3 linked regions of the Saccharomyces cerevisiae S288C genome follow. The gene in region 1 interacts genetically with each later gene. Each region holds a gene or a part of one and is shown in the gene's direction. Other genes may lie near its edges.

What was found. A genetic interaction does not mean that the proteins touch.
Region 2: mutations in PRS5 (region 1) and OCA2 together harm fitness more than expected from each alone (negative genetic interaction), as found in Saccharomyces cerevisiae (2 studies listed by BioGRID).
Region 3: mutations in PRS5 (region 1) and OCA6 together harm fitness more than expected from each alone (negative genetic interaction), as found in Saccharomyces cerevisiae (2 studies listed by BioGRID).

What each region holds. Positions count from the first base shown.
Region 1 is NC_001147.6:209,449-215,240, forward strand, and holds PRS5 (ribose phosphate diphosphokinase subunit PRS5), read left to right. Parts: upstream 1-2,795; coding exon 2,796-4,286; downstream 4,287-5,792. Other genes in the region: CRT10 (Crt10p), read right to left, coding at 1-817; APM4 (Apm4p), read right to left, coding at 1,072-2,547; MAM3 (Mam3p), read right to left, coding at 4,569-5,792.
Region 2 is NC_001146.8:515,092-518,342, forward strand, and holds OCA2 (Oca2p), read left to right. Parts: upstream 1-2,157; coding exon 2,158-2,751; downstream 2,752-3,251. Other genes in the region: YNL058C (uncharacterized protein), read right to left, coding at 672-1,622; porin POR1, read right to left, coding at 2,903-3,251. UniProt on the Saccharomyces cerevisiae protein: Required for normal growth in the presence of linoleic acid hydroperoxide (LoaOOH).
Region 3 is NC_001136.10:582,291-585,738, reverse strand, and holds OCA6 (protein-tyrosine-phosphatase), read left to right. Parts: upstream 1-2,273; coding exon 2,274-2,948; downstream 2,949-3,448. Other genes in the region: ubiquitin-specific protease DOA4, read left to right, coding at 1-800; DOS2 (Dos2p), read right to left, coding at 1,094-2,026; RTR2 (putative protein-serine/threonine phosphatase), read left to right, coding at 3,241-3,448.

The sequences.
Region 1 (5,792 bases):
TCTTAATAACTTTGTTGATTTCCCAGATATAAACGATTCCGTTGTCACCGCAAGCTAGTAGAAAATCTTGATGCATGAAGTTACAAATCTTCATAAAGTTGATAGAACATAGTTCAGGTATGCTGTTGAACTGTGTATCCTTAAATTTCACATATGATGAATTGCGGAAGTTTCTTACATCTCCGTCATCTGGTATTATCACGGGCAATAAGGCGTGACATATTTCTAATGACGAAACGTTCAATAGTATATCGAAATTATGAACTTCGACGCATTGACCGGCAGCCAGGAAGGAATAACTCCCATAAGTGACGAACAAATTGTTCTTGAACTGCAAACCACCATAAGCAAACCTATTTGTGTATTGAAAAGGTGCGAACTCTAGTGGTATCTCTTGAACAAGTAGTTTTTCGTCCTGTGGCAATAGTAATTCAGCTGGATTCAAAAGCCTTGATGGTCCCCAGACGGGTTCTAAGTTGGAAAATGCAGATTTAGTATCCTCCAAGAAGGCTTTCTTGAATGAGTAAGCAGGATTTGGGATTTTCCATGAAGAGTCATGTTCTTCTAGGTTGTGTAATCGTTCTTTAATAAACTCCACGGTTTTTGGATGAAACGAATTGCAACTGGAGTTTGGCCACTTGAGTTGATAATATTTCTTTAACGTTATTATCTCATTCGTTATATTCCAGCCACCAGACGCCAGAAATACTTCTGAGTCAAAGCACTCTCTTGTCGATACTGCCCTTTGTATGATGGCCCGAGACTTAAGCCACCTTGTAAAGAGATCATCATTTTCATTGGGAATCTGAGGGGGCATTATATTCAAAACCAAATTTTCAAGCCTAGAAGTACCAGTGCCTCTTGATTGCGCTGTTGATCTTCATTACTATGGTGTTTTTGGTGTCTTGTATGGTTTTTCCATGTTTTTTCCCTGTTTTCTTTTCAATGAAAAACTAAATTGCATGTCTCTCATAATAGAAAATATTCAATATTAACAAAATGTGCATTCTAAAGGAAATTACTATAAAAAATACAGGCATGATAAAAATATATGTACACAAAAATTACGGGCTAGTACCTCACCTCGTAAGAACCGGCTTTCGATATATATTTAATCCATTTTACAGCACGATGCTTACTGTCTTTTCCAGAAATGGTAAAGTATCGTACGACTAAGCCAGAATTACTGAACATCATGACCTCGAATTCCAGGGATATTGGAGGTCTTGTCCATTGTTGAAGATTCAATTGAGTAGTATCACTTGTGGACACAGTAACTGCACTTAAAGTGTTTTCCGTCAACCCATTGTACTTGTTGAACCTCCAAATCATTGCATTTTCTTCTGGCACAAACTTACAGTGGCCATTAGAGACACTTATCTTACAATCCACAGTGCTTGGTGGAACGGGTATATGTAGTACCACATCTTTGGCGGAAAGTTTTCCAGGAAATAAAGACTTCAATGTTATCCTGTAATCAATCTCGTTATCTCTTGTAGAATGTGTAACAATAGGTGTAACCTTGAACGGCAGGTTTATGTTATCTCGTACATGATATTTCATCAACTCCATCGAACCGTCTGGTGGGACGAATTCAATGATATGATTTCTGTTAAATTTGTCAAGTGAGACACATTCGTGAAACTTGCAATCTTCCAACAAAACACTACCGGCAGCAGCTTTGGGAATGAAGTTCTTGTTTCCAAAATCGCTGCCAGAGTGACGCTGCTGCTGTGCTAACCATTTCTTCTCGTCTTCGGACTGCATTCCCAAAGAATCATTCAATCCAAATCTACAAATAGGGGTCCCACTCAAGTGTGTGGTGATATCTATGGTGCCATCAACGTATGATTTCAAGATAGAACCATCCCTAGATACCAGAATGTTTATCCTCTCATTGACATACAAGAAAACTTCATCCTTCTTGTGTATTATCCCCTTGGGCCTCCAAGTGATCTTATTGTTATCATAGAAATCAGAAGTGGAGTCTCCTTGACCCAGGAAACTACTGCTTCTTTTTGTCAAAAATTTGGGAAAATGTAGTTCTCCTGCTGAAGAAGTAGGAGATGAAGAGGAAGATAATACATCATTTCCATCGGGACTATCTAACAATCCGCCCATATTTCTAACGGGTTTCACAGACATCTGCGCTATAACAGAGTTCAATTCAGTGTCAATTGGTATCCCATTTCCACCCAACATTATATCCAGCATCTCATGCACAATCATGAATTCCTCTTTCAAGGCCTCCTCTCTATCCAATCGATAAGCATTCATCACTGCATCAAGCTTATATAAGAACTCCCAGATCGCCGCACTATTAGCGTTGCTTCTCGTAATGGTTACCAACCACAAATTGTCACCATGCCTCGACCTGATGTGATGGAAAGTAGTTGAGCCCAGTGTCAAAACAGGCGATCTAACATCTAGATTATTGATCACTTGTACTCGGAAGATATCGGATATGGACCGCTTCAACGAGTTCTTGAAGAACTTGTTCAAGACAAGTTCACCTCTCGATGAGTATACCAGCACACCACTAATCATTGCTCACCATAACTCTATGTGATTCTTTTCTCCAACCGTTTATGAAAGGTTTCCACACTTTATCATCAAGTTCTCCTATACTAATCAATTAAGGAAAATATGGCTGTTACCCTTCGACCGCAGTTGAAAAAAATTTTCTATCAAATAATAAATGGCTACGATTAGCGAGAAGGGCTGGATGAGATGAGAGTAAGTTGGTCGAAAGTGACTTTGTTGGAGGTTGCTACGAGGCTAGGAACGCAGTCTGGATGTCAATGAGTAATATTGTTGTTTTTGGAGGGGACTCGCACCCCGAGTTAGTTACTAAGATCTGTGAAAATTTGGACATTCACCCATCGAAAGTAGAATTAGGGAAGTTTTCTAATGGGGAAACGAACATTGCTCTTCGCGAATCTGTTCGTGAAAAGGATGTATATATCATCCAGAGTGGTTGTGGCCAGGTGAACGACACGTTCATGCAGTTGCTGATTTTAATCAGTGCCTGCAAGTCCGCTTCTGCCTCGAGGGTTACAGCCGTAATGCCATATCTCTGCTACTCGAGACAGCCAGATATTCCATATACTGCCAAGGGTGCTCCCATAATTTCCAAGCCTAAAGAAAACTATACTTTTGAATCGCATCCAGGCACACCCGTGTCATCTTCTTTAATGACGCAAAGACCAGGTGCTGAGAGCTCGTTGAAGAGTTTGGATAGTGCAATACGATCAACTATCAACTTAGAAAATCCTCAACCTATCAGAACACCAAACAGCAGTGCTACGGCGAATAACAATTTCGACATCAAGAAGACGCTTTCTTTTTCAAGAATTCCTATGATTCCCGGTGGTAAGTTACAAAATACAAGCAATAGCACGGACGCTGGTGAATTGTTCAACGCTCAAAATGCAGGCTATAAGCTATGGGTAGTACAAGCCGGTACTTTGATTGCTCATTTGTTGAGTGCTGCAGGTGCTGACCATGTGATCACAATGGATTTGCACGATCCACAGTTCCCTGGGTTTTTTGACATTCCAGTGGATAATCTCTACTGTAAACCCATTGCACAAAACTACATCCAGCATCGCATTCCAGATTATCAGGATGCTGTGATCGTTTCTCCAGATGCTGGTGGTGCAAAGAGAGCTACGGCTATTGCAGACGCCTTGGAATTGTCCTTCGCCCTAATTCATAAAGAAAGAAGATCTCAGTTATTGAAGGGCCCTCCAGATGCGACGTTAACCTCTGGTGGTTCGTTACCAGTATCTCCAAGGCCATTAGTTACTACTTTGGTTTCCTCCCAAAATACTACTTCTTCAGGTGCCACTGGGGTTGCGGCCCTTGAAATGAAGAAAACAACTTCAACATCTTCCACCTCGTCGCAATCTTCTAATTCGTCCAAGTTCGTTCAAACTACCATGCTTGTTGGCGATGTTAGAAACAAGGTGTGTATTATAGTCGACGACTTGGTGGATACTTCATACACTATTACAAGAGCTGCGAAATTGTTGAAGGATCAAGGATCTACCAAAGTTTATGCCTTAATAACGCACGGTGTTTTTTCCGGTGATGCGCTAGAAAGAATCGGCCAAAGTAGTATAGATAAGTTGATCATTTCTAACACGGTTCCTCAAGATAGAACACTACAGTACCTAGGTAAGGACAGAGTGGATGTTATTGATGTCTCCTGCATAATCGGTGAAGCAATTAGAAGAATCCATAACGGTGAATCCATTTCTATGTTGTTCGAGCATGGATGGTAGTGGCATTGATGTGTTCATTTTTTTATTGATAAAAATAGGGGAAAGTGTCTATATATTTTGCGTATAAAATTCTCTACATTTTTTTTTCTTTGTTTAGTATGTGTATTGAAACATTTTATTTATAGGTTAGAGAAACAAAAAAAAAAAAACTGCAATTTCTTCTTGTATGTCTGTAGAAAAAATTTTAAGCTGCTCTCCCCTGTGATTTCATGCGTCTGGGACTAATAAGAACGGTGATGATGGTTATTATGATGCATGGGCAATTCTTTTGGCATAATCTCTTCATCTTTTTATGGTCGACGAGGAGCCGTTGGCATCATAATTGGAAGTTCTTGACAAAGAGTCGGTGAAATTAGAACGATCATTGTTGTTAGCGTTTTCGTTCTTAAATTTATTCTTAATACTGGAAAATAAACTTGCATTTGAACTTGAACTTTCTCTATCGTCACTTCGATTAGAATTCTCTTGATTGATATTCTCGTTTCCATATTCACTTTTGGATTCGTCCCAATCTTTTGCGGGGCCAATGATGGTTTTTGGAACACCTTTGACTGTGATGACAGATTCCACAATACCATTCTTCGTATTTTGGTAAGAGGTTGAGATTGTAACGTTTTGATTTTCGTTGCCGTGATTCGCGCCAGAATTTGGAATTGATATACTATCAGGGCTATTTCTCGTGGTTTTAGTCGAGGTAGTAACTTGAGTTGGTTGACCCGACCGTTGAGTATGGAGAACAGCTTGGCGAGATAGCTCTGCATGATCACTTAATAGTTGTTGTTCTTCGGCGGAGAGTGATTTATCATTTGAGTGTGGTGCTGGAGAAGGCTCTTTGCTAGAATGAGGAGTGTGTGTAGTAATGATTTTCGGAACATTGGCAGGCTTTTTAATGGTAACAAAAGATTTATTTACGTTCAACGGGTTGGACGCTAGATTTGAAGGTATGATGGTGCCATGTTCCGTCACTTGTGGAGTTGGAGACAATACAGCGTTGGACCTGTCGTAACCATCATTTGACTTCTGCTTCCAAGACTTATTATTCAAATCTTGCTGTGGGTGCTCGGATGGGTGATTAGAATTGGATGGAGACAAGAGTGGAGACGATTCATCAGCTTGGTCAGCAGCTTTGTGCTCCTTGTGAGAGCTAGTGTACAAATGATGCAAATAGGAAGTAATGTGCCTTTTGCTCAAGGGCCCCGGTTGTTGTCTCATAATATGCTGATGCATGTCCACAAAGACATCAGACTCGTCCACGATTTCTTCACCGATCAATTCTTCAATGACATCCTCCAAAGTTAAAACACCAATAGCGCCATGCGAGGAGCCCGGCTCTTTACTAACGACGCACATGTGAGCTTTCCCCTCCTGGAAGTAATTCAGAATATTCAAACAAGATGTGTTCGGGGAAGTTTCTGGCAACGTGGCTAGGGGGAAGTGGGAGATTGGGAGGCAGTCATCAGGATCGTAGGAGATAAGCACCCTGACAAGTAACATGCCGATGAAGTT
Region 2 (3,251 bases), on another chromosome or scaffold:
AACGCTAATTATAGTTGAGAATTTACAACGATGTAAGTCGCACTAAGCCAAGAACTTCTTTCGATGATTGTCATTGCTCTTAGCAAACTGTTCATTGTGAGTTTTGTTACTTGCTGAAAATTACATCGGTCAAGACCCTTCTATATTGTCACCTTCCATTTATGAAGACAGCACTTCAAGGCAAAAGTGTTTAATATTTATACGCGGATCATGATTGCTTAGCTCCTTCTTTAACTCAGTACTTGTGGTTAGAATTTTGTAGATACCTGCACACATTTTGGTAGCAGCTGTGTCGGTGTTTCATGAGGATCGGAAAGATATGTACGGAAAGATCACATGTATATATTTAACAAAGAATGCATAATTCGCCTTGTTGATGGTTACGACCAGATCAGATAAAGTAGTTCAAAGATCACAACAGAATTTTATCTTTCCAATTACCATTCAGAAAAATTTTTTATCTCTTGGAGGGTTATTTTCGGGCCTTTCAAGAATATGATAAAGATATATCTTGGCAGATGTACTGATGATTACTGGTGCGTTAGAACCGTATGGCCTTGAAAAGAATAAAAGCAAACATCGATTTTTTTGGTACTGAATTACACAATTTTTAAGGACTAAAAAAAAAAATGTTTAACCTGAACAACCATGTATCTTAGATGTCAGGGTATCTAGATTATTTCTCTACCATTCAGGACATCATCCAAAAACATCGATGGCGCCTGTCTTTTATGAGCCTTTTTAGGAGAGCTAGTATTTGAGGTAGCAGAAGCGACTGGTATGAGGCCCAAGGAGGATTGGTTTCTCTTATGGTAGCCTTCCATTGAGTTAATTTTCTTTTCCTTTCTTTCAGGTGACGCTGCTCTTTGTGGTCTATTGAGGTTCAGCTTTCTCTCTTCTTCTTCTTCTTCTTCTTCTTCTAGATAGGTACCTACGTATAAAAATGGATCGTCAATAAAAATGTTAGTGTCTTTTGATTGATGGCGGCTATGACTTTTTTCATATTGTGACACTTGTAAAGTAGGAGATATAAATAAGGATCTTCTGTTGTCTGTGAACGGATCCTGAATTGGGTTGAATGGTGAGGCAGCATCCTCGTATTGGCTAGATTCTAATTGGCTCATAGAATCCCAATCATCCTGCATATATGATTTCTCATCATTGATGTCAAAGGGATTGCTTTGTAAAGAAGAACTATGCTTGTGGTGTCCCCTGTACAAATTTTTACTATCATTTGCATAAGAATTTGTCATTGTGAAACGACGAGACAAATAACTGGACACTAACCACCATATAAGAATACTGATAAAAATGGCACCTATGACAGCACCCACAGCAATGTATACAGTTCCATTTGGTTTATCAGCAGCATTTAAAATAAATGGGTTTCCTGCTGTAGATGGGGGTGTTATACTTGCGACAATTAGTGATGAGGAGGATGTTGCTCCACTGGAAGTTGAGAAAGCCGAAGATGTTAACGATGGAAGGGACTTGGAACTCGTTTCGGACACTACACTTGACGTGGGCTTTGACAGGGCGGTTGAACTAGTTGTAGTAGTAACTAAAGTAGGAAGGTCTCTTCTGACCAGCGATACAGACGGGATAAAGTTTTTCTTAACCATCTCTGCCGATGTTTCTTTCTGAACTTTTGACAAGGTATGAGTCTAGTTGATTATAATACAAGAGTGTGGGTATGTTATTAATAAACATTATAAATTATTAACCCATATAGCTGCTAAATATAATTGAAAATCTAGTAATTTCTAATTATACATTTTTTTTTTTTACAAATGTTTTATGATATGTTTACTATTTCCCGCTTTAGGAAATCATATTAAGGGTTTCATGAAAGAATTCTGCAGAGTGATCATTGGAAATCGGCAGAAAGTGAGAAGGGAGGCTGTCACCAGGTTCCCCTATACTATTCATGTGAGTGGTAGCATGCAAAGTAAAGACCCTTTTTCATTTAGTGATTCATCCATGAATAGCTCTTGGTGCTAGCCCAGATTTTTCAGTAATTTTTGTTTTTTCTTCTGAATTTTCCAGAATTAAAAAAAAGATCAGAAAAAAGCGAGAGTTTACTTAAGATATTAAAGTCTAGTTGATATATCAACAAGTGAAGGCAAAATACCAATAGAGTGCACGTTTCTTGATGCTATGAAATACATACCCCCATTAAATTTTTCGCCAGTGGTGAGCACGGATGTATCGTTATATCGATCGGGATACCCGATGCCGTTAAATTATAGTTTCATCAAGCATCAGTTACACTTGAAGACCATAATATATATTGGCGATAAAGATAGGCCTCTCGAAGAATATCAAAGCTTCCTGGAGTCAGAAAAGATAAAATACTATCACATATTTATGGATTCAAGCCGCGATGAAGGAATTCAAGAAAGAATGAACCAGGTCTTGCACTTGGTGCTGGATGTCAGAAACTATCCCATCTTAGTGCATTCCAATAAGGGCAAGCACCGTGTTGGTGTAGTTGTGGGAATCATAAGAAAGTTGTTACAGGGATGGTCCACTGCAGGTATATGCCAAGAGTACGGGTTATTTTCTGGTGGGATGAAAGATGGAGTAGATTTGGAGTTTATCACAATGTTCGAAACCAATCTGAAAATACCGAGAAACGTTATCCCTGGCTTTGCTAAACACTGCTTGTATTTGAATGAGCTAGAGGCTGCGGAAGGAAGTGATGATGAGTCAGGAAGTGAGTCTATTCTCACTGCCAAGCAACCAATATGATTATGAGAACCAGCCGTTACAAAGAATATTTTCTGTCATTAATATATTTGTATAAATAAAACAACAAGTCTAAAGATCAAGTAGAAAAATGGAAACAAGAACGAGCACATATATGGTATATAGTGAACATATATATATTAGATATATACGTTCAAGCGTCGAAGGACAAAGACCAACCTAGCTTGTGAACAGGTTCAGACAACTTCAAAGCATCGAAAGAGGAACCGACACCCAGAGTGACGCCAGGTCTTAACAATTGCTTGTAAGCCAAAGTGACAATACCGGAATCGGACACCTTAGCCTTAACTTGGGAAGATGCATCAGGCAAATATCTAGTGGCGAATTCGATGTTGACATTGGAGTTAGGTAGTTTGCAGTTCATTGTAGCCTTAGCACCGACCTGTAAAAAGGCGTTGACGTTTTGGAAGAAGTCAACGGTAGTTATTTGCTCGTTGTTCAATGTAGCGCCCAAGGAGTAGTCTTTGGCGAAATAACTTAAA
Region 3 (3,448 bases), on another chromosome or scaffold:
AGTTTTGCCAATTCCTTCTAGATGGTCTTCATGAAGACTTGAACCAATGCGGTTCAAACCCACCTTTGAAGGAGCTTTCTCAAGAAGCTGAGGCGAGAAGAGAAAAACTGTCTTTGCGAATTGCCTCGTCAATTGAGTGGGAACGATTCTTGACTACTGATTTCAGTGTTATTGTCGACTTATTTCAGGGACAATACGCCTCACGACTAAAATGTAAAGTCTGTAGTCATACCTCGACAACATACCAACCTTTTACGGTGCTGTCAATCCCTATTCCTAAAAAAAATTCCCGAAATAATATTACCATTGAAGATTGTTTCAGAGAGTTCACCAAATGTGAGAACTTGGAAGTGGATGAGCAATGGTTGTGCCCACATTGTGAAAAAAGGCAGCCCTCCACGAAACAATTGACAATAACGAGATTACCGAGGAATCTGATAGTCCATTTAAAGAGATTTGATAATTTATTAAACAAAAATAATGACTTCGTCATATACCCTTTTTTGTTGGACTTGACTCCATTTTGGGCCAATGATTTTGACGGGGTTTTTCCTCCAGGTGTTAATGACGATGAACTACCAATAAGGGGACAAATACCACCTTTTAAGTATGAATTATATGGTGTAGCATGCCACTTTGGTACTTTGTATGGTGGTCATTATACAGCCTATGTGAAAAAGGGATTAAAGAAGGGATGGCTATATTTTGATGATACCAAATATAAACCTGTCAAAAACAAAGCCGATGCAATTAACTCTAATGCATACGTTTTGTTTTATCACCGCGTCTACGGTGTTTGATTCATTTGAATAAATAACTGAAAACCGTTGTCTATACACTTTTTTTCCCGTTCAACATGGCATATCATTATTTCCATCTAAGGTCAAAGTAAAAAACCCTAAATACAAATGATTTATTTTAACGGTAACAAACGAACTTTTTTTTAGAAGGTGTAAAGATGAGATCACGCCCAGATTTTGTCTTCCTCCTGTGCATCTCTTGGATTGATGATTTTCCTTTCTACCATAATACGTCATGAAAAGTATGTAAATATTTATAGCATTACATATATCTTTTATATGAAAAAAATCACTCATTCCCAGTCATCATCGTCGTCGTCGTCCTTGCTCTCATCCTTGTTGGCGAGGCCAACATGGTCACTAACATCTTTCAATCCCTCTTGAGACACAGCAACTTTCGTCTCCCCTTTAGATTTGTTGTCAGCTACTGCTTCTACTTTGTCATCATCTTCTTCTTCTTCTTCGTCATCCCACTCAACTTCTTTTTCCTCCGTTTCCTTTTCCTTTTTGGACAATATTTCTTTCCTTTTACTTTCTTTATCTAGAATTTTGTTTCTTTGTAAGAAATAGATGTGCCAGAAATCTTTATAGCTGATTTTATGGGGTACGATGTCGTTCATTAATTTGGAGATATCTTTGTCGCCCTGTAAAATAGAACATATCTCCTCAGTTTTTTCATCCACGTCAAACGGGTCCAGTTGCAAATCCATTTTATTGTCTAAATAAACCGATTTATCTTTAGATAATGTCCTTAGTTCGGCTTCTGTTCTATTTCCACCCACAGCAATTTCATTTTCTTTCGAATTCTCATCCTTGTCATTAGAGTCATTTTCTGCAGCATTATCGAAGCTACTGAAGCCAGACCAAAAATTCTTAGTTTTCATTTTGCTCCAATATGACTGGGCTAGACTTTCCACGCTGTGAATATTCTCGTCTAGTTTCTTCAAATACTTTTGTGCAGTCTCTGTAGTTTCATTGCTAATTGGCAAGTTAATTTCAATTCCGTCATCTTTCTCGATTACTAACTTTTTGAATGCACTTGTAGTCTTTTCATATCGTTTATTGACTTCCTCTTCTAACTTTTGGAAGGCCTCATTTGTTTTGTCATCTCGGCTCTGAAGTTCGTTATTTTCAGTGTTTTCTGTTGATCCAGTTTCCTTGGTATGAGAGTTGCTTATTTTATCATCTTCGATACAAGCTACTTGTTCTTCATAAAAGAATTCCATTTTATCCTAAAACGTCGAAGCAATGGAGCTCACTAGCTGTACCCTTATGTTGTGTTCTTTTTTTGTTGCATGACTTCTGCTAAGTGCTTTTTATCATTAATCACCGCTATTTGATGTAAGGCCAAAAAAAATGCGAAAGAAAAAAAGAGACTCTGTTAAGAAGGAAAGGAGTACCAATATAAACTATGGGTTCACAATTGCTATGAATACCCAGTTCACACATCTAGAATAAGCTATATGTATCAAAATGACACTAGTGACTCCGTTACAATTTTCGACTGTACAGCCAAATTTATATAGAGGATCTTACCCACGAGAAATCAATCTCCCATTCCTGAGAACCCTTAGATTGAAATACATATTATCTTTGACACCAGAACCTTTGAGCACTGATCCTCTAATGGTAAAGTTTTGTGAAGAAAATAACATTAAGACAATTCATATAAAATGTCAAAGTGAAAGAAAGGCAGACAAGACCAAACCCAAGATTAAAAGGAAAAAGAAAACAGTTCCTATTGAATACGATGTTGTAGTACGATGCGTTAAATTTCTGATTGATAAAGGGCATTACCCCTGTTATATGCACTGTACGAATGGTGAATTGATAATATCTCTCGTAGTAGCATGTATGAGAAAGTTTTCATATTGGAGTACGGTATCCATACTAAATGAGTTTTTGGTGTATAATTCCAGCATCAATATTCATGAAAGAAATTTCATTGAAAACTTTAACTCTGAAATCGAAGTTGACGATCTGGATATAAAGGATAAAGTTCCCTGGATTACCGTGCGATATATTGCAAGGACAGCCACAGAATCAAAAGATGAGTTGCGTGTTGATGATGCTAATGCGTCTGAAAAAGTTGCAAGAGTAAGTAGCGTGTCAAATTCTTTGCCAAAACTAAAATTTCATAGTATGTAAAATTCAGGGATAAATTCATATAATATTTTGTAAAGACAGAAGCTTCAGGGTTAAGTCTTAGCCGGGCCCTCCAGCATTGATAATCATTTTTTTCAATATCAAATGCCATTGAAAAGTCCAACGAAAATTACATCGACTTTACAAAAGAGACGAGCCGGTCACATTCTAGTATTGGCGAAGATTGGAAGCCATTTATCAACAGCAAGGAGGCATTCTGGAAAAATTGCAGCATATTTAAGAAAAGTGATAGGTTTATTTTTATACTAGAAGGACAGGAGCAACGCAAGCCATAATGCAGATAATAACCACTACGTTCATTCAAAAAGTAATTTTAGGATCACACCAATTACATGAGCAATTATCTATAGTGGAAGCCCGAATGATTGAATCTGCCATAGTTTCAATGCTCACAGAATCATTTTGCGAAAATGAGCAGACATTAAAATACTTAGCACGGCTACTTTCACCGATGTCTTATATGGATGTTATTAATGCAAGAA